Caenorhabditis elegans: one gene and its partners. The protein of the gene in region 4 purifies or fractionates together with the protein of the main gene of each other region. This does not show direct contact. Each region holds a gene or a part of one and is shown on either strand. Other genes may lie near its edges.

Region 1 (7,857 bases), on a different chromosome or scaffold from region 4:
CCACTAAAGCTCCTAGGAATTCCTTCAATTGTTCTTCTTTTTGATGGTGGTGGTCCAGAATCATCATCAGAATCAGACGACAATATGAATGTCTCCATCTAAATTTTATATTTTGTCTATAACGGTTTTAAGCGGCAAAGTATGCGGTAACGGATTATCCTTTTTTCTCTCGGAAATAATAATTTTCATTGAAAATTTCATTCATCTCGTCGTAACCGGATAATATGAGAATGAGAATAAAACAGTAATAACAATCAGCGAAAATGAATATAACACAAAAGATAATCCTTAATTGAAAAAACACCTGTTGAAAATGTGAGATGAAAAGTGGAGAGGAATCAATTTTAAGAAATACAATGGGATAGAAAATATAAATTATTTATCAAAGAATCTACTGCTCATTTTTTGAGCTTGCTCGAAGTCAGCCACTTTTCGGAAATAGATCAACATTTTCTGATCAGCACTTTTTCTCAAATTTGCAACTTCTGCAGCTACTACTTGGTCTTCTGGAGATTTTAGACTCATTTTCCGGATATAATCGGCACTCCTGATCATCAATTCATCAATGATTCCGTATGGAAGCCAGGTTCTTGCATTTGACTGGGAAGCTTGTAGAGTTTCTTGTTCGACAATATCACTGAGAACTTGAAGAGCAATTGAATAACTTTCATAATCCACGAGACATCTAAGGTAATCGTTAGCGTCATTATTCTGAAATAATTGAAAAATATTTTAAAGCTATTCTCTATTCAGCTAACAAACCTCAAAAACACTGTGCAACCAGACAGGAACATTCAGCTTAAAACTAAGAAACGCTTCAGTGGATCCTCGAAGTGGTCTAGAATCTCCAGGCCATTCTGCTTGAGCCGCATCAACCAACCCACGAACCACCGACCAATGTTCTTCAGCGGTAGCGACGGCAGCACAGTGCCTGCGGTTAAGACGAACCCATCCGGCTTGATGAGTTGCTGCCATTTCGATGTTGAGGTCATCCCGAAGAGCATCAATCATTATTGCTTCACGTGTCATGGTAAAGAATAGCCTGTGGGAATCCAGATTGAATTGCCTGAATATATTTATGTTTTATCATCCTCTATCTTTTATAAAAATCACCTTGCAATGTCGAATGCTTCATCAAAATGTTGATTATCAACAAGCAATGAAAATAATTCGTTAAGATCAGTCGGTGGAACTCCCTTGAATTGATCAGAAGAAAGAAGACCAACTCGTGCGGAACATAAGACCAATTCATCACGAATACTGAAAGAAAACAATGAACTCTATGAACAAACTCTAAAGACGTACTCTTTTTCACTGAGAACCAGCAACTTTCTACGTTTGAACAATGGAATACTTCCTCCCTTCATATCATCTTCTGTATCATCAGTATCCATGTCATCCGATCCAAGTGCATATGCCATTTGCCTTGCCTTCAGTGCTACCAAATCTACACCTGTTCCTGACGAGCTGGTTCCATTCGAATTATCAGGTGAAGAATTGTTGCCAGTACCACTTCCACTATCTTTGTTTCCGCTCGGCAATTTGCCATTTTCACCAGACGAATCAGATTCGGTGATCAGCTCATCCTCGTCATCTGAAGGTTCAGGAAATACTAAATTCGTGTCAGTAGCGTCATCGTAGATAGCTCGATCGTCTGAAAAACAAATTTGAGAATAATTTTCAGAACATTAAAAACCGTCTGGCTCCATTCCAAGAACTGATTGCAGGTTGAGCACGACAGCAAGGCAGTCACGTTTTCTGCGGAGAAGTTCGGGGGTCATGCACGTTGTTGACTCGATGTGACGTGCATATTCGTACATTGCACAAGCTCCTGTAAATAAATTAAGTGCGCTTTATTTAAAACTTGGAGAATTACCTTTTCTAAAGTCTTTTCTAGCGACGTAAAACGCAAAGAGTAACTCGAAATAGTGCTTCTTCTCACTTGGTGATTGACGACATGCAGCATCTCTCAAAAAGTCTTCAACAACCTGCTCATGCTCTCCAAACTTCATTGTAGCAATTGCTTCCCATTCTCCACAAGCAAGCATTAGAGATAGAAGCTCGCGAATCGAAGCTCTCCGAGTTTCAGATCGCAGTGTTGTCCTGAGAATAAGCTTGAGTGATTGGAACCACTCACGACGATTAGTCAAATGGTTGAACAGAGTATTAGAAATCAATTGCACGCTTTCATTCTCAATCGGAAGATTTTCAATTGCTTTCACTGCGACAGAGCACACTTCCTCCGCATGATTATGCTCTTGAAGAAACCGGACAACTGTCAAAAAATATTCAGAAGCGGTCAATTCTTCAACTGGATCTTTTCCTTGTGCAACGTCAAATCGTTTTGGAAGCAAGAAGTACACCGCTTTACGGAGAGCATTGTTTCCTTCCGAAAACGCATCGAGACAGGATTGAAAAGAATTTAGTGCTTTAACAGGATGATCTGTTCCAGAATAAGCAATACCACGATAAAATGTGATCACAGGCTTCAACGCGCGAGTTTCACTGATGTATGAGTTGAGTATCGTGAGCAGAACTTTATATTGCTTCTGCAGAACAAGTCGCCGCGGTAGAACAAGAATTTCAGATGATGAAAGTAGAGCTCGAATCGCAGCTTCAGTTGTCACGCCAACGAACCAATTGAAGTCATTTTCTCGAATTTCATCATAGCCATGTGGTCCGTAACCACCCTCTTTCTTCATCATTGAAAGTCCCTCGGCGTCCGATGTCAACCATGTTCCAATGCTCATTTTGGCTCCGTTTCTGAAATAATTACATTTTTTTGAATGTTGCAATAAATGTTTCTTACTGCACAATCTTGATGTCCAGTTGTTCATTGAGTTCTCTATACACACGAATGATCTCTCTTAATTCACATGACAAGGCCTCAACATCTCCAAATGAAGGGGCGCCAGCACGAGATTTCTTCTGCAATTTCTGATAATGTGTAAGATTGCGAGAATGAGAAATAATAACGTTACCTCAGTGATTGCGTTGAGCAATGTTTGTAGTGTGAGTGCAAAATGAACACGTGACTCTACAGAAACTCGAATATTGGCCGATACAACACTTTGTGTGAAAGATCCTCCAAAAATTTGAGGATGTGGGTCTTCAAACGGTTTCGAGTTATCAAATGTGGACGCTTCGACAAATGCAGCAGCAAGTTTCACAATTGGACCTTCAAGCGCAGTTTTAATGTTGATGAATCGGCCGTCTGAATCGTAATCATATGCATTTTCGACATTATCATCCTCGACCACGGCGACTCCGTTCTTGGCATTTGTAAGCCTAGCTCTCTCACGATTCTGAAAAAAAAAACGCCATAATTTCGAATTTGTTTTCATCAGAACCAGGAATGAATTCTAAAAAATGGACTAATTCGCCATGCTGTTCCTATTTTTCATTAAAAACTAGCCTCAATATACAGAAAGTCAGTGTATTTATCTGAAAATAACACTAAATCCAGTTGAAACATCTAAGAAAATCCAGAAAAATGGTCTGAAAATTGCCAATTGCCGAAAAACAAACTCGATAATTTGTCAATTCGCAACTTCCAAACTATTTTTAAGAACGTCTCCAAGTGTTCGATCTGGAACAAATGCCATTTTACAGATAAATATTTTTATATTGCAACTAATTTTTAATGAAAAATATCGGACCAACATGACGCAATATAACATTTTGTAGAATCGCCGAAGACCCCTGATCAAAACTTACCATCAAGAATACACGTCTATCAGCAAACTTTGATGCTTCTTCAATCAAATCAATGAAATGTTTGTTCGGCAACTTTCTGAACTTTTCTTCGACATTTCCTTGTTTCGGGATGTTCTCTGAGCTAATAATTTCAAGGAACTCGGTATTATTATCGCCGAGGAAAGTCATTCGATCGCGATGAACAACTGCCATTATTCTCAAATCTCCGCAAAATTGAATTGGAGCGAGTGAAATAGCACCGCGAGCGGCGAAATCCAGTTCTTCACATGCACGGAGAAGAGCCCACCAGAAACTGGAAGTAATTCGGTTTCAAAATATTATTATTACTGCAGGCATAAAAATAAACATACTCTTTCAGCGCAGTTTTCTGCGATTCTTGTGGAGCATTTAATCTCAAACGAATACTTCTATCAGTCTTCTGCTGAAATTTCCGGTTGAATTCAACTGATGTGAGGTATGTGTCCACAAGTTTCGATAGTTCAGGCCAATTATTGTTCCGTACCTGACCAAGTGTACCGCGGAAATTGTCGGAAACAATCTGAAAAGAGACATTAAAAACGTATCACATTTTCTATTTAGCCACCTGGACAGCACGGAAAACAATATCAAATGGATAGATATCTGTATCAAAAACCACATCAATCAGTGTTTCTATGCTTGAATCTGCCGAGAGGTTATATGGGCGCTCAATTGCAGGTTCCACTTCATCCGTATTGCCGATCGGTTCTTCTTTGGTAGTGGCAGGCGAAGTGAACTGACGAACGGAATGCCAATCGAAATCTGTGAAAACTCGTCCCTTTTTCCATTGGATAGCAAATGAGATCCGTTTCATCGAATAGGTTTTCTTTGCAGATGAACTTTTGAAAAGAGCAGAAAGTGAAAATAGTGCAGCTGTGAGAGGATTATACAATTCCCTGAAACAATTTTATATTTAGACAAGAAAAAAACCCATTTTATAACAACGATTCTTACCCATCTTGTGTCTCATCAAGACTTTCCGATTCCTTTGATGGGAAATAGTTTTGAATAAGCTCGAGATCAACAAGTCGTTCATCAACGGACATCGATGTTTCGAACATTTGTAGATGTTGAATTTGATCATTTGAAACTTTGAGAATATGAACTCTCATCCCGACGCTTTTTCCCGAAACTGCCAAATCACATCCAACAATCAGAAGAATATCCACATCGAATGAATAAGCTCTGATAGAATATACAGTTTCAGTTGGTTCCATTGGAGACTTTTCTTCCTCGAAGTCTGCAGATTCTAGATCTCGATTCAAAGATTTTCCGTCTGAAGCAAAGTAGTTATTCAAGTCAATAGTGCTTGGCAATTGTTTTTTCGTCTCAACATTCCATGCTTGCACCCATCCGTCTCTGGTAACAGCGAACACAATATCGGATTGGACTGAAATTTTTCGCTCTCTCGTGACTCCAGAAGTCGGGCGAAGATTCTTCATAACACATGCATCACTGACTCGTTTATCAGTGCCACCTAGAAGTTTTCCCAGAAGACCAACTTCTCCCATTGTGAATTCTTCGTGTTTATCACTGGATTCCGTGTATGATCCCAATGTGACAATGACCAACTGCCCTTCAGCGGTACAGTAAGAAATCTGAATTCAAAATTCGAAATATAGGTTGTAATCAATTTCCATTTTTATACCGTATTTCTTGAAGGATGATGTGTAACACTTGCACGAATCGGGCGCCCTGGTGTTGAAAGGGAGTGAGATGTTCTGAATCGGCGGAAATCGTCATCTTCTTTAATTCTTGCAAGAATTGAGAACGTCTGAAAATAATTATTCTCATTCGATTATGGAAATTTTTGAGAACAAACATCATGGCCTTTGGAGTGGAGTCTCGCGTAGAAACGATGAATTGCAGAAGCTGTGGGAACGACAATACATAAAACCCCTTCCTCGAAAATTGTTATCGATGTTCCAGGAATAATAGGTGTGCGTGTGAAGTCAATGCACAACGATCCATCCGTGATTGAGTAGAGCAAAGAACGCTCCTCAATGAACAGTTTCTGGCCAATCGCACGCCACAGGAAAATCCGATCGCCGTAATTTGAGCAGTGCGGAAATGTTGCAACTCCTGCGGACGGTTGCACATCAAATCCATTCGAATGAAGCGGCGCATCTAAAAAAGTGAAATTTGTTGTAGAAACAATTATTTAATGAAATTGAAACTTACTGGTGTTTACCACAAAAGTTCTAGCCGGCTTTATAGCAAATCCATCCGTGAAGCTGATTTCCGACCCGTAAACCAGCTCCATCTGAAATTAAGCATAAAACACGATGTTAAAGCAAAAGAGAAATATGGAGATGAAATAAACACGTTCAAAAATATTTAAATATCGTTAAAAACAATTTTTCATTGGCGTGAACTTGTTTTACTTGTTTTTTATACGTTTTTTTATACGTGAAAAAATGGAAGAAAACAATTCACTTTAAATTTTAATCACTTATCGAGAAGGTTCTCATTGGATTCAAAGAAAAACTTGTTAGAAATTTGTGAGTTTTTACAATAAGCTTCATATTTTGACACTTTGCGATGTAAAATTTTACAAAACAATGATGAATTGAGCCGAAAACGCCTCCATATGGAGCTCCATTCGAATTCAAAAATAAGGGGCGTGGCTGCATGAGCAATACCGCCGCATGGTATTTCGCAACATGCGCACACTTTTTCTCTGTCAAGAAAAACGAGGCCCCACGAAAAGGGGATCTGCAAAAAGGGGATCTGCGAAAAGGGGAGATACGAAAAGGGGAGATACGAAAAGGGGAGCAACGAAAAGGGGATCTGGCACTGTGCCAAACGCTATTTTTCTCGAAGAAAACGATACAACGATTGTCGCGAATACGCAGAATACTGAGTCATCAACAATGACAAAGCCGGGAAACTCCTGTTTGAAAGCCGCGCCAAAAGACACACACGTCACGCGTGTTACAGTACTACCACACATGCACATCAAACCCCAACACGTCGACACCACGCAAGGAAATCGTCACTTCTTCGTTTTACTCTTGGACCGGCAGGTCGCATGTTAAATATATGAGCTTTCTCATTTTTATCATTTAACGGATTTATCAGTAATAAATTATATAATTCTACCACTTTTGAACCTATACCGATCCGAAACATGGTGCATCGGCTCCGATGTTACGCGTCGCGTGTTGTTAAGCGTATCTTCTAGAAGAAAATTTCAAAAATCAACGTGCGTTGCGTGAGAAAAATTGCGTTTTGTGCGTTTGGCACAGTGCCAGCTCCCCTTTTCGTTGCTCCCCTTTTCGTATCTCCCCTTTTTGCAGATCCCCTTTTCGTTCTGCTCCCCTTTTCGTGGGGCCTCAGAAAAACGCGCGCCTAAACGTGAATTTTGAATTTTCTCCGCGTCCGCGAAATTCTTACGTTTCCATAGTAACAAAAGTTGGTCCGCACTTGTTTTTCATGATTATGCACGCCCAAAGAACGGTGCTGAAGCTTCAAATTTTGCAACCTCCTGTTCATTTTGACTCAAAACTCTTAATCCCAAAAAAACGCTCAATTTTGTTTTCGAACCCGTTTCTTGTTTCAGAAAACTTCGCGTTAAATGGAGGATAATTCTGTGCTCAACGAGGACTCCAATCTCGAGCATGTCGAGGGTAATTATAACATTTAAAATCAATAACTGCATAAATGCAAAGGTTTTTTAGGCCAGCCACGAAGATCTATGTCGCAACCAGTTCTGAATGTTGAAGGAGACAAAAGAACGTCTTCGACCAGTGCCACTCAACAGCAAGTATTGTCAGGAGCATTTTCGTCTGCTGATGTTCGTAGCATCCCCATCATCCAAACATGGGAAGAAAACAAAGCGCTTAAAACAAAAATAACTATCCTGAGAGTAAGTAATTTATCATATGCTTATTTAGAAATGATTTGAGTTTGTAGGGAGAACTGCAAATGTATCAGCGCCGGTATAGTGAGGCAAAGGAAGCGTCGCAGAAGAGAGTTAAGGAAGTTATGGACGATTATGTCGATCTCAAATTAGGCCAAGAAAATGTTCAAGAGAAAATGGAGCAATACAAACTGATGGAAGAGGATTTGCTAGCAATGCAATCGAGAATTGAAACTTCCGAAGACAATTTTGCCAGACAG
Region 2 (4,246 bases), on a different chromosome or scaffold from region 4:
CCTCTACATTTGCACCATGATCCTTTAATATCTGAGCAACAAGCCCTATTTGCTTGAATCCATGAACTGCTACCACATTTGTTCCCTCTAAATAGTTTTCTCCAAGTTGTGCTCTTTGTTTAACATTTGCTCCGATGTAGAGGTTACCTACCATCTGGAATTGGTAACGTTTTTTAAAAATTCACTTACAATATCATAATAAAACTCTAAAACTTTGACAGATATCTAAATTTTAAATTCAAAATCCAACTTACCCTTTTAGAAATTCGAACAGCTAACATTTTTTAGTGTTGCAGCTGCAGACTTTTACGTTTTGTTCAAATTCGGCGAATCTGCTTCTTCACAACTAATCCAATTTCAATTTCAATTTCATTTTCTTCTTCTTCTTCTGCTTTTGCAGCTCCTCCTTCCTCTTTCTATTCATTACTCCCACTCCCGAAGGAGTCAATTTCAGAAAGAGCAGCAAGCTAATTATTTTCGTGCAACAAGAAAACGGGAGCACAAGCCAAGAAAACGTTTGTTTTATCTATCAAGTGTAGCAGAAGGAAAAAAGAAACAGAGTATACGAGTAGTACAACAATAAAACGGAAAACAGTAACAATAGAAATTGAAAACAAAAAATTTGGCAATTTAGTCGGTATGGAAGTTAGTGCTCATCTTCGGTGTGCTTCTTTCTTTTTCTTGGAATTTCTTCTTCATCTGCCTCCCCACCTTCAGCTCCTTCATTTTCCGGTTGTTGCTGCTCGCGGAGTCGCTTCAGACGTTTCTTTTCCTGGAACATGTGTCAATTTGAGGTTTATTCAAATAATTTTGACAATTTTGATAAAAGTGCAACCTTGTCAAGATGACACTTTCGGTAATGGGCATGTTTATAATATTATCACTCAATTTGAAGCTATGATAATAAATTGATAAACTTTTTGAAAAAAGTTAATCGAATTCAGGGAATCAAAATATTTTTTGTGCAAGAATAAAGTCAGGTATTTGATGTTTAGCACTAGATACTGTCGACCACGGGTGTCGGTTTTTCGATTTTTTGTGACTTACTCAAAGTATGTAACAAAAAATCGAAATTTTCGTTTTTTTTTCGATTTTTCGATATTTCGAAAAAATTTTCAATTAAAAAAAAATTAGCTTAAAATTTTGGTCATTTCCTTATTTTTTAAAGAAATTTTTACGTTCCTTCATCAATATAAGCTAAATTAGATTTTTTAAATCTTATTTTATGATTAATTTTCTGAACATTTTTTTCGACTTTAAGATTTTTCAGAAAATCGAAACATCGAACATTTTCGTTTTTCGATTTTCCCTCGAAATAATCGAAAAATCGAAAAAATCGAAAAACGACACCCTTGCTGTCAACCATATTTCTAAAAATAGCTTATCTACCTTTTTCAGTCGTTTACGTTCAGCTTCATCAAACTCTTCATCAATAATTTCTTCCTTAACTTCTTGTTTTACTTCCAGAATAGTTTCAACTGTTTCCAGAGTTTCTTCCTTATCTCTTTGTTCTCGTCTCAATCGTTTTCTCTCCTTTTTTTCGGCTTTTCGACGAGCTTTTTCTTCATCCGATTCTTCTTCCTCCACTTCAGTCTTTATTTCCATTTTCACTTCTGTCTGATTAGCAGCTGCAGCCTCCCGTTTTGCCTTCAAAGCAGCCATTTTTGCAGCGAAATAGTCACCGACGGATAGGGTGCTGACAGTGTTATTTCCCTCCTTTTTCTCTTGACTGTCAGCTTGGCTATCAGAACTATCAGATTTTACAGATGAATTTTCAGTTTTTTCTTCGATTTTCTCTTCGGCATTGTCAGATTTGAGTCTTCCATATCCAAGAATTCCTTTTTTGTGGCTATCGCTGTAGTTACTTGTATCCTTGGCGCGAGTGAATTTTTGATAACTAAAAATTGATATACTTATACTTTTTTAAAATGATGTTTCAAACTTACTGAATTCTTCTCCTAATCGATTTGCTTTTCAATTCAATGGAAATCTTCTCCGCAGCTGCATTCTTTTCTTCTTCCGTTTGTTCTGGTTCCTGTTCTTTATTTTTGTTCAAAGCTGCCAAAAGATCGGCGAAATCGTCGTGATGAGAAATCCATGTAGAATCATAATCAGCCATTTTGTCAGCACCAAGTCCTCTTCCAGAAGTATTTGCCTTGAGCTTCACAGAGTCTGCGTTTCCTTGACGATTTCTTCCCAGGCCATCTCCTTCGGACCATCCCATTTTCTCCATAAGCTTTTTTGACAGTCTGTAAAATGTTGATGAAACCTGATTATTGATAGGAGAAAACTTACTTCTGATCGTCATTTTTCCATGTCAAATTTTGGGGATCAATACTAATTTTTTGTTTTCTCTTCGGCTCTGCCAAAATCGACATTTTCCAAAAGAATTGAAGCGTCGATAAACCCTAAAATCACAGGAATTGAAATATAATTAGAATGATTGTATAAATAAAATATTACAGTGTTCCGAACACTGGTAAAATCAATAATGTTAAAATAAATTGGAGCAAAGAAGACACTTTTATTTCAGACAGACAGATCAAATAAATTACAACGAAATCATACAGAAAATAGTCATCGAACCGTTTTAATGAGAATTTTACATTTTACAACACATTATTCTCCCAGTAATTCCAACACCCAAACTTCGCTCATTCCAATCATTTTCATGGGTGGTCCTTGATACAATGATCCTGCCATTACCATCAATTGACCTCCAAATGGAATCTCATAGAGTCCATAAAAGTATGGTAGAAGCCAATAAACTACTGGAATAACTACGTAGAATTGTCCTGCATGAGTGTGTCCAGATAAGACAATATCAATTTCTGATAATTCTTTCGGATGATCTACGATGAATTCTCGAATTGATGCCGGATTGTGTGCCATGACGATTTGAGAAGTATTTGATGGACATCGATGGATGGCTTTTGGTAGATCCATTTTAGTGTTCAAGATTCCAGATTTCGGACTTGAAATATCGTTTACTCCAGCCAAACAGACTCCTTTCAGCATTGTACTTCTGAAAAATATCACTGTTACTTCCAAGAAAAACTCAAAAACTTTGTAAAACTTACTCGTTTTCAAGAACATTAATACGGCCATTTTTGTAGAATCTTATCCATTCCTGAACGTCTCCATAATAATATTCATGATTGCCAGTTACGAAATAAGTAGGTGCGTGAGCAGGGAGTTGACTGAAAACAAAAATTGAAATTTTGTGAATCAAACTAATTCGCCTACAGAATTGGTCGAACTCTATCCTCGATTTCCGCAACAGGAGCATCTACCATATCTCCAACAATCAGAATAGCATCAACTGGATTTTCAAGCACTTTTTCGACAACTTGATTGATTTGTTCCGAATAAACACTTGCACCAGCGTGCAAATCAGAGATCACTGCCAATTTTAATCGATTTCCATCAGCAGTGAAGTTTTTTATTTTGATGGTCTTTTCTTTGACAACAATCCAATCGCGTGATATAAACATACTGACTGACAGAAGCAAGGTGATTATCATTGTGAATCTGAAAATAACATTTTTAATGATAAGTTCCGAAATGAGATGTTTTTTGTTACTTTATTTGAGATCTTCTTTTCCACATGAGATCGTTAAAATAAGGAACCTTTCCTATTATTTCCAAAATCGAAGCGGTGTAATGGAACATCTGAGAAAATTTTTTTAAAATAATTTAAATATTATTGAAATTAATATTACCTTCATTTTTCCAGCATAGAAATTAACAATCCCAAATCCACATACGAATGCAATCATGTTAGTCCATATTCCCGCGCAGATTGAGGTGAGATCGAAGAGAAGCCACTGAAATGCAAGAGACTCTTTTAACAGCAACACAATTTCTAAAAACAAACCTGGAGAAATGCTGGGGCATAATACATAAAATAAATCGCTTGTCCGAGAACTAGGAAAATAATAAGGCCATCCGAGCATCGTTTCCGGATTGTCTGAAATGAGAATAGGTCAGTTTTTGGTGAGAAGAAGATTTAATCGATTTGAAGAGAAAAATAGTTATGGTCTTTGAAATCGTAGCAGGAAAACAAAATAAATTTTTATTTAAAAGCAAATTCTTGTTTTGCTAACTTTTTCCAACAAGAATATTGCAATTTGTTGAAATTTCAGTGTCGAACGAAAAAAAAAGAAAATTTTGTTCAGCAACAACACTCCGCCTTGACACCTCTCGCGTTGTTTATCGTCATTGATGGGTCTCGCAACGCACGGCG
Region 3 (4,251 bases), 7.3 Mb from region 4:
AATCGAGTATCCATACGAGCTTTCAATGCATCAACGTTCTTCTCATCAACCAGCTTTTGAATTTCATTACGATTCTTATCATTCTTATCCCAAGCGAGCCAATCGGCAACTTGCTTGTCAAGCTTTGCACATCCAAGAGTCATTCTGAAAATTAGAAAGTGCTTAAATTTTGCAATAAAATTGTGGAAAAGACAACAAAAGTTTTAAAAAATCGAAATTTTGCAGATAAGGACACTAATACCACAATTATTCCGACATGTGTGGATGAGAAAAGGCCAGGTAAATGACCTTGCCGTTTCTCTATTTCTCTGCGAGTAACCCACTATCCCTAGATTTGGAAAAGAGATAAAATCAACAATAATTGATGGAGGTATTGTGGAAACTGTGAAAAAGACAGTATCGGGTTTCAGTAAATATTTAATTTTCGAATTTAGGTGAATGTTGAATGCAAAAAGAATTAACAAAAACGTCCAAAAAATATTTCTAGGCACAAAAACCGTTGAAAATTACATAAGTTAGATAAGTGGAATGTTTAATTCTTGCAGAAACCGATCAGCATGAAAAATCTGAAAATTAAACAGAAGATTGATAAAATACTTAAACATCAAAAAAAAATCGGTGATAATGTTCTCGGTTTTCAGTTTTCAGATGATGATAACAAATAATAATACACGCTTTGATAAGAAATCATTCGGAAAAAAAATGATCGGCGAGAAAAAATAGAGAAAAATATCGTTAGAAATAGGTTTTCTCGAGTTGTGATGGAAGACGTTCGGTAGTTTTCGATGAGATGAAGGCGCGAACTTCTTCAGGCGATGGAACGTAGTCGTCGACATTCATCTCACTCAGCTTTACCCATTGGTTCACGAAGAGTGCTGAAAATCAATTTTATTTCATTTTTGACTCTTTTTGATTTTTTCCCAACATTTCCAGGATCTCAGTGTTCCATCCAAGCTCGTCGACGAGATGACTGATCCCATGAGATTATATCGAAGCCTCCATGCTTTTCGATGATCCCCGAGCAGTGCCACCTTGATCAGATTGTAATCCGCCAGCTGAATCGGATTCTCGACACCGTCTTCTTCGAGAATCGCCGAACGAGCCACTTTGATGTTGTAGACGTGAACATCGCCTGATGCAACGGCTAATTGATGCGAATCCACCATCGATATCGGCGAGAATCTGAACATTTTAAATATTATAGTTAAAATAGCGGAAATTTTTTTTTGAAATTTTCAGACAAAAAATTGATAAAATAGCGGATTTTTCAAGAAAATTCGATTTTTTTTGAAATTTTTAGACAAAAATTATTAAAATAGCGAATTTTTCAAGAAAATTCCAATAATTTTTGGAATTTTCAGACAAAAAATTGATAAAACTGCGGACTTTTCCAGAAAATTCAATTTTTTTTGTTGGAATTTTTAGACAAAAAATTGTTAAAATAGCGGATTTTTCAAGAAAATTTTAAATATTTTTTGAATTTTGTTAAAATAGCGGAATTTTCAGAACATTTCAATTATTTTTAAAATTTTCAGGCAAAAAATTGATAAAATTGCGGATTTTTCAAGAAAATACGATTGTTTTTGAAATTTTTAGACACAAATCCGATAAATATCGGATTTTAGAAAATTCGATTATTTTTTGGAATTTCTAGACAAAAAATTATTCAAAGAGCGGATTTTTTAATACTGAAAAATCTGCTATTTTCAATGGAAAGGCAAGCGCGCTGTAATAATTATTCGGCTCCGAGGAGAGCGTGTTCTTCCTACTTCAAATCAGTAATCGGGCATGGTAGATCGAAGACTAATGAGTTGATTCGCTGCCATTTCCTCAATCCATCAATATTCTCATAGATCACAACTCGTTTCTTGTTCTCTGCCTTCTTCTCATCCGAACCAACAGCAATCAACGGGCGGTGCATACGAGAAAGTGACCATGTGACACATCCACATCGGGTATGAAACGCTTGAAGCTCGTGAATAAGATTCCATCGAGAAGCGTCCACAATATCCGGTGCTTCGTAGATTCTGACGGTTCCGAGAACGTTGCATGATGCCATCATGAGACCCAGATGGCGCGGGGAGAAGCAGATATCGGTGACGTCTGAACGATTATCGGAGATGATTGTTCTTCGGATCCATTGGGATTCTTTTTGCTCTGAGAGATACATAATGTTTTGGATTATATTTAGAGCGAATTATACTCACTCAGATCTTTCTCTGATCTCACAATTTGCTCCTCCCAAATTACAATCGTTCTGTCGTAGGAGCAGGTGCTGAAAATCAATCAATAAAGTATATTCGGGTGACAGTTTCTAGTTTCTTACGCAACAATCTGCCCAAATTCCGGATGAGCCCAAATAACGCGCCAAACTGCTCCACCATGACACTGAAATGAGGAAAATTATTTTATTTTCTGAAATTTCTTTTCTACCTTCCAGTGTGCAGATCTACGCCAATTTCCGTCTGGCTTTCGATCCCAAATCGCCATTGTCATATCGCTGGCACATGTTGCCATTCGTCGGCCATGAGGATCGAATGAAACCTGGAAATAAAAATCTTCAGTTTTTATCTAATTTTTCGAAATCAAGCCAACATACACAATGAATGAGATCTCTGTGAGCGCCGACGGTCTGAAAAGGTTTCACCGAGTCGTCTTCTTGCATTTTTCTGAAAATTAATAAATATTTATAGTGAATATTAGAGAAAAATAAGAGAAAAAGAAGAAAAATCGTTGCGTAGAAACAAAAAAATAGATTCAAAATTTAAAGGCGCAGGCACTTTCGCCGGTGGAAGGTCTCGCTAGGAGCGAGTGGTGTAGTCCTCTCGGACAAACGAGAAGATGCGGTAAATGTAAAATTTTTAAATTTAATGTTGGCCTAAATTAATTGCGGCACAATGAATTGATACATTTTAAAGACTTTTCATCCAAATTTTGTTTAATTAATTGTTAGAAATTGCTAAACTGTTCTATTCTAATCGAGGGGGTACGTTTTCGTAAGGGGATTTTTTCGTAAGGAACGCTTTCAGTAGGGCAATGTGCTGCGCGCCTTTTCGCAAGCCCGCCGCACAGTCCTTCGCAATGCGCCGCACGGCTTTTTGCAATGCGCCGCACGCTTCTTCGTATTTATTTATTTCTTTTTCCAACAGGAAATTTCGAACGGAATTCAATTAAAAACGGATTTTTAATGGAAATTAATTAGTTTTATTCGAGCTAAATACGGATATTTTCAGAATTTTCGATGACAAAAACGGGTTGCAATCGATTTCGAATCGATCAAAATTAATATTAATCGAAAATGAGCATTTCCTTCCCGGAAAAAGAAGAACTTGATGCTGAGAGTGATCCAAGCGGAGCCAAACGCTTTTTTAGAGGCAAGTATTGATGTCTAAAGATTAATTGAAGAGTGAAAAGTATTTTTCAGCGTTCGACAGGGATCTAAAGAAGAAAAGAAATCCGAAAGCGTCTACTACAAATGTATGTGAATCGACTCCTGCAACAATCGATCTGGTTACTCCACCTGCATCACCACGTCGGTCTGATTCGTATATGCAGTTTCCTTCAAATTCTCGAGAGCTCGATGAGCCGAGATCCACTGACGATATCCCGGAATGCGATTCAATAGCCAATTCTACTCAGGAAACAAGCTTGGATACAACAGATTCCATGGCAAATACTGAAAGATTTTTTGATTTTGATCCAGCTGTATTTCCCGAAGAAATGGATCACGATCTACAGGAAACCAGTGAATTCAATCTTCTGTGTAGGTCTTAACTAATAATTAAATAGAAATAACAGACGTTGTATTTTTAGGTCACAATTCATATCAATCTCCGTTTGAAGACGAAGAGACTCCATACCATCCGGATTGGTTTTTGACAAATAGGTTGTTATTAATCAATAACTCTATCAAAATATAAAATTCCAGCAAGTCACACGTGTTACGTTCTCTGATGCACTATAGACCGATTGCCAATAGCCCAAGAGGGTGCTTGAAATGGCACCGGAATATATCAGCGAGAATAGTTCAGATTTTTGGTATGCCTTCTAACTTCTAAAACAATTAAACATAGAAACTATGCAATTTCAGTATTTCGACGAAACGAGGAGCTCCATTGGTCATTTTCAACAATCAAAGCTATCGTCCGAGAGAAACACTGAAAAATGGGGACATTGTGGCTAGGTGAATTATCGCTAGGAAAAAATTTTATTTTTTGTCACACATTTCATTAATTTATTTCAGATGTAACG
Region 4 (7,853 bases):
ATTCGAGTACTCAATTTATCGTTTTGCTGATTTCTAAATTTCTGTACTAGTTTTCTCATGTGAATAGAACACAACAGTAATAACATCCTACAAAAAGTTCATATTCATAGTAATAAAAAGACGATTCGGGAAATGATGATATACGAGGAAGACAGACGGAGAGGGCAGGAAAATGTAAATAAAAAAAATAAAATTAGAATCAGGTGAAAAATGAATAAATTAAAAAGTGGCTAGTCTAGTCAAATTCAATTGTGAATCTTTCGATTCCCCAAGACGAACGATCACGGAAGATCTTAAACATTTGCCGATGTCCGAGAAGCTTTGTCCACTCTGGAAGTGTATTCTTATCAGCACGGTACTCGAACAAAACACGTCCAATTGTTTGAAGAGAGAGCCTGAAATTATATAAATAGTTTTAAAAAAAACTTATGTCCCAATAGCTTACTTTTGAAGACTGTTCTTGCTGATTGTAGGAGCATGTAGACGAGTTTCCAGACTTTCAAGCACGTCCTGTAAGAGTTCTTCTTCCGCATCATTTTCGATCAAATTGATCAATCGGCAATAATCAGTGTAGACCATTCCAGTCGCACCCCACTCGGGAATCTGATTTTCGAAAGGACGAACCATCGCGCATGCTGCTTTGAGAGCGTCATGATCTCCAGCTACAACTGCAGTTGGTGCAATATCATCCACAAATAAGCGACAAATTTCCAGATAGTTCTTTGCAGCCACAGCCAATTCGAAAAGTTGGGTAGAATCATCGACTGACTTTGCAATTGAGAATTGAGCATCAGCAATCCATTCCGAAGGAATATCGAACTGTTCGGAAATAGAATCAAACATATCATTGTCGGTGAAACGAGCAATACGGTCGAGGAGGGAACGAACTGCTGTTGATCTTCTGGATAAATATATTTATAAATTGAAAGATTCTAAAATTCAACTCACTCTTCATCATCATCAATGTGCTGCAAAACAAACAATGCATATTTTGAGAGACTTGATGCTTCCAATTGAGATGAATAGTTTCTGTGAAGTCTTGTTTCCGAAGTCTTTGACATTGTACGGTATCCAACCGAATAGAGCAAGCTCCATACGTGCCATTGAAGGAAATAATCGTTGGGATTTTCTCCAGCTGCACAGTCAAGTACAACTTCCACTGAGTGCTGTGATTCACATGCCAATTTGATGAGTTCTCCGGGCAGATCTCCACGATTAGAAGCGGCACGGCCAGCATTGACATCTTTCTGATAAGCATCGTAAGATTCTTCTAGACCAGTCCATGCACGAAGATACCAGACATGCAAACCGAGTGCTTGAATCCAATTGAGTCCATCAAGACAGTTGATCGAATGATTCTTTCCGTCTTGATCCCATTCGTAGTGTGATAGTCCTGACATCAGAACATAGCATTTGAGAGTTTCCTTCGGAATCAAATGAAGAGTTTCGCATTTCTTCCAGTTGTCAAGTTGTGCTTTAAAGCAATGAACAGTAGCTTCTGGGCACACAGCAGAAGTCTGAAGCATCGTAGCAAGCTGTGGCTGATTATTATCAATCGCAATTTGAAAAGCTTTATCGATGTCTCCAAGACAGAGTTGATTCCAAACACCATTTGAAGATGTATCCGCACTTCTATCGTCTGGAACAGACTTCACTGCTTCTGTTCTAAGCCATTCTCCAATTTCTTCACCACGCTCGAAAGACCATCCTTCTCGACGTTCATATGGGAATAGAGCAGATATCAACTTCCAAACAGAAACATGTCCATCATATCCACCAGCTTGAGCGACATCGATGTACTTGGCAAACATGGATGAATATGAGTCAGAATAAGTGACGAAGTTAGAAGTGAGCGAAGATTTAACCGAGTTGGATTGTGAAGATGGACCCTTGCGACTGGTTTCAGATACATGAACATTCACATCAAGCATTGAGATTAGCGTGTTCTGAAAATTGATTAAATTAAAAATGGGCCATAGAAGAGAACGGTGTAAAAAAGTACTTAGAAATCCAATTGACAAATAGACTGTAAATCACAGAAGGGCTTTTATAAAGTCACAAATATTACCTCATTCACGTCCGATGTTCTATCAATTGTCCCAAAGAGTACTTGATTGTGTCGGGGTTGAGCTGACCACACAAGACATCCAGTTTCACTCCATCCGACATGTGAACTTCTTCCCTTCACAATTCCTATATCAATCAGTTTGCTCTTTCCATATCCAATCATTTTAGCAGAGTGTCCACCACCGTGGAACCGATGAGCTGGGTCGTTGGCCTTCGGCATGACTTTCAGTTCCTGGAGATTGCGAATGAATCGACTGCTTTCGTATTCCAAATCAGCGAGAAGTTCAAGTTTCGGCTTCTTTTCCGGCTGCTGACCTTCTTCAATAATTGAATCATGACCACTTTCATTGAATTCGGTGGTCATATTTCCGATGCATGATTCTTCTCGACTATCATCCAATGTTCCACCACCAAGACCTTTTCGGTTAACACGACGAATGATCGGCACAACATCACCTAATGCAGCAGGTGCCGGAACTCGTTCCAGAATTATCTGAAACAAATAACTGCTGATGGCTCTCCATATTAAACCCTAAACGGTCTGTCTACCAATACCATTTGAAGAGGCTAATTTTAAAAACAAATTTATTGAGTTAGAAAAGAATAAACGAGAATAATTTGAGTCTTTAGCCTGCCCTAGATGGTATTGGCAAGCAGTCATGTGAAATGCTAAGAATGAAAGCAGAAAATTTTTAAATGAAACAGCAAAACGTTTAGAAGGAAAATTAAAATACGGTGATGATTGAATTATAGTGAGTGACAATCATTCAAAACGGACCTCTTGATGGTGAGCATCCGTTGCCTTGTGCACCTTCTTTCTTTGCACTTGATTGTTCACGTCTCGAGCAGATGTATTCATGTCGATCTGGAAAACTATTTGTGTAAAAGGGTAAAATGAGTTTTAAAAATTTACCACTTGTAATGGAGAAGATGCCTGTAGTGCTTGCTGTGGAGGGGACCCATCCATTGGCTCATCATCGTCGGCCAATCCATACTTGCTGAAATGGTCCACACGGAAGACCCAGCTTCCAGTTTCTGCACGAAAATCTTTGAATGCGGCTCCCATCCGAATCGTTTGTCTCTCGAGATGCTCGCGCCAACCAATCTCGGAGAGTTTCACGACATCTCGCACTTCTTTCTTGGTCTTCTTATCAGTGTACCATACTCTTTCGAGTGTCACTTCTGCTGGCCTATTCAGTTCTTGACCTTCTGGAGCTTTCTCTTCTTCATTCGGATAAACCGTCACCTCGCGATGACGAAATACAACAATCTCGTCGAGAGCAACATCTTTCAGCTCGACTCGTCCTGGCCAGTAGACACTTCCGTACGACGATCTTCCAACTGTCAATCCATCCTCCAACACAACACGTCCGTTCTTGATCATGTTCTTCATCTCATTGATTGTCGGAAGAGAAAAGTAGTCGGGCTTTGTAAGCTTCACTCCTGCTGCCGAATTGACATTAACAGTTTCTTCAGAAGGCGTCGACACAACAGATGCTGCTGAACTAGTTGCAGCAGACACCGGCTCCAAGCCAGTGTGCTCATCGCATGTCGTATCCAAGTTCAACGATGGTGGATCTCTATTTCTGTCATTATGTCTCTGGATTACAGCCTGAACGGGGTCAACTGCTGGAGTGGAAGTGACAACGTCTTGACGTCTTTCGGATTCAGAGATTCGAGGAAGAGCATCTGGATCAGCTACACGGGATTCTCTTCCAACTCTCGAAGAATCTGCGAGCAGAGACATGTCCAACTGCTTCAAATTCGATCTTCTCACGGATCCACGAACTCCAAGACGATTTGAAGTTCCATTCATGGAAGCATCCAGAGCTGAGTCGATAGTTTTGTCGAGGGCACTTGATTCGTGAACACTTCGATTTGTCAGCGACATATTCGGATTGAATGTGCTGTTTCGAAGTCCGCGAGCAAGTGATGGTGGCGCTTCTTTGGAAGTGTAGTTCAAATCTTTGGTGACATCGGCTGACCTGGTAACTGCTGGAGAAAGATCACTCATCACTTTGCTGATTGGTGGAATGATAAACGACGAATCTTGTGCATCAGAAGACGATGACAGAGCGCCTTTCTTCGCAGCAAGGAATCTCAGCTGTCGTTGAGTACTAGCCGGCGAAGACTTCCCATCAATTTCTGGATTCGCATTGTATTTGAGTAGTGGTGAATCACCATACGGCGCATTTGTCAACTGCGACTTCAATGACTTCATGTTTGCTTGCATCTGGAGGACATCAGCCGTAACGCCAATCACAGGTACCGGGGCCACTTGTTGTTGCATTACAATTTGCGGTTGAGCAAGATTTCCGAATCCAGTATTCAACGGCTGTGTAGCTTGAGTGTTTGAACCAAACAGTCCTCCTGAAGAAGCTTGTGGCTGGGAACCAAAGAGACCGCCGCCTGTTCCAGTATTCGTCGTATTTCCGAACAAACCACCTGGCTTTGCTGCATTGTTTCCAAACAATCCACCTCCGGTATTTGTGGAACCGAAGGCATTTGTAGTTGTTGGCTGAGTGGCTCCAAATGTGAAGCCGGTACTTGTTGCAGGCTTCGCACCAAATAACGAACTGCCAGTATTGGCTGTCGAAGTATTTCCGAAGAGACTTCCACCGGTGTTTGCAGCAGCCGGCTGACCGAAAGCATTTGTCGCCTGAAAATTAATAAAATATTGAAATTCTAGGATATCTTAACTCACCGCTGGGGCACCTCCGAAACTGAATCCACTCGATTGTTGCTGTGGTTGTTGCTGAGCTTGGCCGAAGAGTCCGGTACCAGTCGTCCCCGTGTTGCCGAACAGGGACCCAGATTGATTTTGATTCTGTGTATTCCCGAACAACGATCCACCAGTATTCGTCTGTGGTTGTTGATTGCCGAAAAGAGACGATCCAGTTGTCTGACCGAATGTTGAAGCTCCTGTTGTAGCTAAGTTTAAGGTTAAAAATTGTGTTGATGCTAGATTTATTCTTACCTGTAGATCCGAACAGTGACGAGCCCGCTGGTTTAGCTCCGAAAAGAGATCCACTTGCAGCAGACGTGTTGGCGTTGTTGTTACCGAACAATGAACTTCCAGTGTTTGCTGTGCTCGTGTTCCCACCAAATGGAGATGACGTCGAAGCTCCCCCGAACAGAGAAGTCTTCTGTTGAGCATTACTTGATCCAAAAAGCCCACTGCTTCCAGCTTGGTTTGTTGTGTTGGATGCTCCAAAAAGCCCACCGCCAGTGGAAGTCGTTCCTGTTCCGGGAGCCTTTCTATTTGCAATGTAATCCTCCACTCGGAGCTCTTCAATACTCTTTCCATCGTACTTCGACATTGCAGAAATGCACATGTGCTTCGTGGAAATTGTCTGAGTTGTCCCATTTCTCATCATAGTATCAGAACTGATCGGTGGCTCAAACTTAACAGTGGTTCCAGATACGGTCGATGCTGAAGCTGATACAAGATTAATTTATTTATCGAAAATCAATTGTTTACCTCCAAAGAGACCTCCACCAGATGGTGCATTATTATTGGAACCAAAAATGCTGCTGGTTCCAGTATTGTTAGCGTTGTTACCGAATAGGGAACTGCTTGCGGGAGCTGCTGAAGAAGTTGACCCAAAGATACTTCTGTTGGCATTGTTCTGCCCTCCACCGAACAATGAACTCTGGTTGTTCTGAGGCTGCTGCGGACTTCCTAAAATATTAAAATAAATCAAACGCATACAATTATTGATCAAAATACCGAATATGCTGGAAGTGTTGCTGGCCGCTCCGAAGATTGATCCTGCCGGCTTGTTCTGTGCCGCCCCGAAAAGGCCAGTAGTTCCACTGTTATTGGCTGGCTGACCAAACAATCCTTTGTTTTGATTGTTCTGGTTGTTTTGTCCAAATAGACCGCTCCCAGAGCTGCCACCGCCAAAACTCGATGAGCCGAATGATTTGTTCTGGCCGAACATTTAGCTGAAACTTGCAATTGATGAGACGGTTATAGATGAAGCGATGAGCAAGTAATAATTTGCAGTGAATGAAAGGCGGTTGTCATGAACATTCTGCTAAGAGCTGTCACAAGTTTTCATACAACCAAAAAGATAGCATTTACTTGAAAATGTACTTTAGGATTTCCAAATCGGAATTACTCTACACTCAAATTGCACGCTAATGCGACTAGACGGACATTGATTGATTGATCAGGTTACAGGTACATATTTATGACTGAAAATGTGCAAGAATAACACAAAAAATGGGAGAACAACTTCTACAACCAAACTCGAGATGAAAAAATGAGCGAAATGATTTCGAATGCAAAAATTTTTTCGAAGTGATTCTGAAATCGCAACAGAGCGAGTTTGCATTATACACCCTGCGTCTCTTAAGTTCACACACTGTCTCACTGCGCGAGGGTTTTTGACAGTTCTCGACAAGTCTTTTATTTTTTCCCGCAATTCGTGTTTTTTCGTGGGGTTTATTGGAATAAACTGTTTTCCATAATCGTTCTAAAGTCGGTCTCCACTGAAAAACTTTTACAAATGCTTTTCTTTTCAAATAAATTGATTTTTACATTTTTTCTTTCAGATTCGGCAAGAAAATCTGGTTCAGATGCTCAAATGCCATAATCCGAAATGGGTAACACGTTAACTGGACGTTCGAACGCTATCGCACCGATTATCAGTGCGGAAGATGCTAAAACTTATAGTGAGTTTCAGGGATGTTACAAAACAAACATAAACTCAAATTTTTAGTATCGGACGAGGAGTATCGACGAATTCGCCAAGCTTTCCAACGCTTCAAAAATGGATGCATTAATTATGACGTAACTGTTTTTAATTATTTTTTTAACTTCACCATTTAAGGAATTCTGCTATCATGTTCTCGGAGGCGCGCAGATACCAGAAGAAAAACGACGCCTGCTGTTCAGCTTCTTCTCTCATGGCGCTGAAACCATTTCCTTTGACAATTTGCTTTCATCTCTTGTTGGATTGTGTAGAGTAGAAGAAGTACAATCGAGTCAGTCAAGAAACATTTCAGAAATAATATTAAATTATTTATTTTCAGGGTTTATCGAAGAATATCACGAGTTCGCGTCATGGGGATTGAGTCCTCCTAAGCTTACGATTCCGCTCAATGATTCCTATATCTCATTTTACGAAGTGATGTCTTATGTGACGCATTGTAAGATTTAAATTATCTTGATTTCCGTATTTCAAAAACCATTTTTCAGTATCCGTGAACGAGGTTATCGAGTTAGAGAAAGTGTTCGCCACGATCAGTGATCGAGCTGTCTGCAAACTGAATGAAGAGAAGTGGAAACAAGCATTGGGTGGATGCTTCCCGGATAGTTATGCTGAGAGATTATTCGCTGTTTTCGATGAGAATCGAGATGGTCAAATTGACTTCAGAGAGCTCGTTTGTACACTTTCGGCTCTTTGTCGTGGACCTCTACCAGGGAGAATTTCTCGTGAGTTTTTAAGAAATTATTTTGAGAAACTAAAAAGTTGTTTTAGAGTTGGCACGAATCTGGGACGTCGACTGTGACAAACTTCTGTCTGACGAAGAACTTTCTAACATGTACAAAGATCTTAATGTCCCAGAAGAACATCAGACTGTCACAAAATCATCGAATGGGAAATCTGCTCTCGTTGATTTTGGAATATGGGCACAGGAAAACGAAAAATATGTCAATGAATATTATTCTATGGCTCTTCAAATCGGACACATTTGTCTCGGATTGAGACCAGAGTCACGGAAAATGGAATTACAAATTGTGAAGTTAGTGTAGCTTTCAATTCTCAGTTTAAATA

Evidence for each region.
Region 1: the proteins of npp-10 (region 4) and npp-6 fractionate together in Caenorhabditis elegans (co-fractionation; one large-scale study listed by BioGRID). This does not show direct contact.
Region 2: the proteins of npp-10 (region 4) and T23G7.3 fractionate together in Caenorhabditis elegans (co-fractionation; one large-scale study listed by BioGRID). This does not show direct contact.
Region 3: the proteins of npp-10 (region 4) and npp-18 fractionate together in Caenorhabditis elegans (co-fractionation; one large-scale study listed by BioGRID). This does not show direct contact.

Annotation. Positions count from the first base shown.
Region 1 is NC_003279.8:5,174,977-5,182,833, reverse strand, and holds npp-6 (NUP160 middle TPR domain-containing protein), read right to left. Parts: upstream 6,005-7,857; 5' UTR 5,999-6,004; coding exon 5,917-5,998; intron 5,863-5,916; coding exon 5,558-5,862; intron 5,510-5,557; coding exon 5,384-5,509; intron 5,334-5,383; coding exon 4,690-5,333; intron 4,632-4,689; coding exon 4,301-4,631; intron 4,256-4,300; coding exon 4,068-4,255; intron 4,010-4,067; coding exon 3,718-4,009; intron 3,306-3,717; coding exon 2,982-3,305; intron 2,938-2,981; coding exon 2,810-2,937; intron 2,764-2,809; coding exon 1,877-2,763; intron 1,832-1,876; coding exon 1,697-1,831; intron 1,655-1,696; coding exon 1,306-1,654; intron 1,261-1,305; coding exon 1,114-1,260; intron 1,067-1,113; coding exon 763-1,066; intron 712-762; coding exon 376-711; 3' UTR 181-375; downstream 1-180. Other genes in the region: slx-1 (Structure-specific endonuclease subunit SLX1 homolog), read right to left, coding at 1-98; spd-5 (Spindle-defective protein 5), read left to right, coding at 7,313-7,364, 7,416-7,603, 7,651-7,857.
Region 2 is NC_003280.10:9,165,423-9,169,668, forward strand, and holds T23G7.3 (G-patch domain-containing protein), read right to left. Parts: upstream 2,409-4,246; 5' UTR 2,379-2,408; coding exon 2,296-2,378; intron 2,250-2,295; coding exon 1,947-2,249; intron 1,898-1,946; coding exon 1,390-1,897; intron 773-1,389; coding exon 647-772; 3' UTR 507-646; downstream 1-506. Other genes in the region: W07A12.8 (DapB_N domain-containing protein), read right to left, coding at 1-154, 255-281; T23G7.2 (Calcineurin-like phosphoesterase domain-containing protein), read right to left, coding at 2,620-3,025, 3,081-3,200, 3,247-3,531, 3,584-3,672, 3,723-3,827, 3,878-3,970.
Region 3 is NC_003281.10:13,295,271-13,299,521, reverse strand, and holds npp-18 (Nucleoporin SEH1), read right to left. Parts: upstream 2,670-4,251; 5' UTR 2,666-2,669; coding exon 2,600-2,665; intron 2,545-2,599; coding exon 2,434-2,544; intron 2,389-2,433; coding exon 2,327-2,388; intron 2,276-2,326; coding exon 2,208-2,275; intron 2,158-2,207; coding exon 1,770-2,157; intron 1,183-1,769; coding exon 926-1,182; intron 876-925; coding exon 736-875; 3' UTR 529-735; downstream 1-528. Other genes in the region: pgm-2 (Phosphoglucomutase-2), read right to left, coding at 1-143. UniProt on the Caenorhabditis elegans protein: Probable component of the nuclear pore complex (NPC) which is involved in the trafficking of macromolecules between the cytoplasm and nucleus. As a component of the GATOR complex may function in the amino acid-sensing branch of the TORC1 signaling pathway.
Region 4 is NC_003281.10:6,013,538-6,021,390, forward strand, and holds the start of npp-10 (Nuclear pore complex protein Nup98), read right to left. Parts: upstream 6,026-7,853; 5' UTR 6,012-6,025; coding exon 5,798-6,011; intron 5,750-5,797; coding exon 5,549-5,749; intron 5,507-5,548; coding exon of another isoform or gene 5,501-5,506; coding exon 5,045-5,500; intron 4,999-5,044; coding exon 4,772-4,998; intron 4,727-4,771; coding exon 2,981-4,726; intron 2,933-2,980; coding exon 2,846-2,932; coding exon of another isoform or gene 2,831-2,845; exon of another isoform or gene 2,636-2,830; intron 2,561-2,635; coding exon 2,069-2,560; intron 1,947-2,068; coding exon 949-1,946; intron 902-948; coding exon 446-901; intron 396-445; coding exon 236-395; 3' UTR 1-235. Other genes in the region: Ubiquitin carboxyl-terminal hydrolase cyk-3, read left to right, coding at 6,675-6,747, 6,795-6,865, 6,906-7,059, 7,108-7,224, 7,274-7,510, 7,557-7,821. UniProt on the Caenorhabditis elegans protein: Nup98 and Nup96 play a role in the bidirectional transport across the nucleoporin complex (NPC). Required for the nuclear import of hcp-4 during mitotic prophase, this step is essential for centrosome assembly and resolution.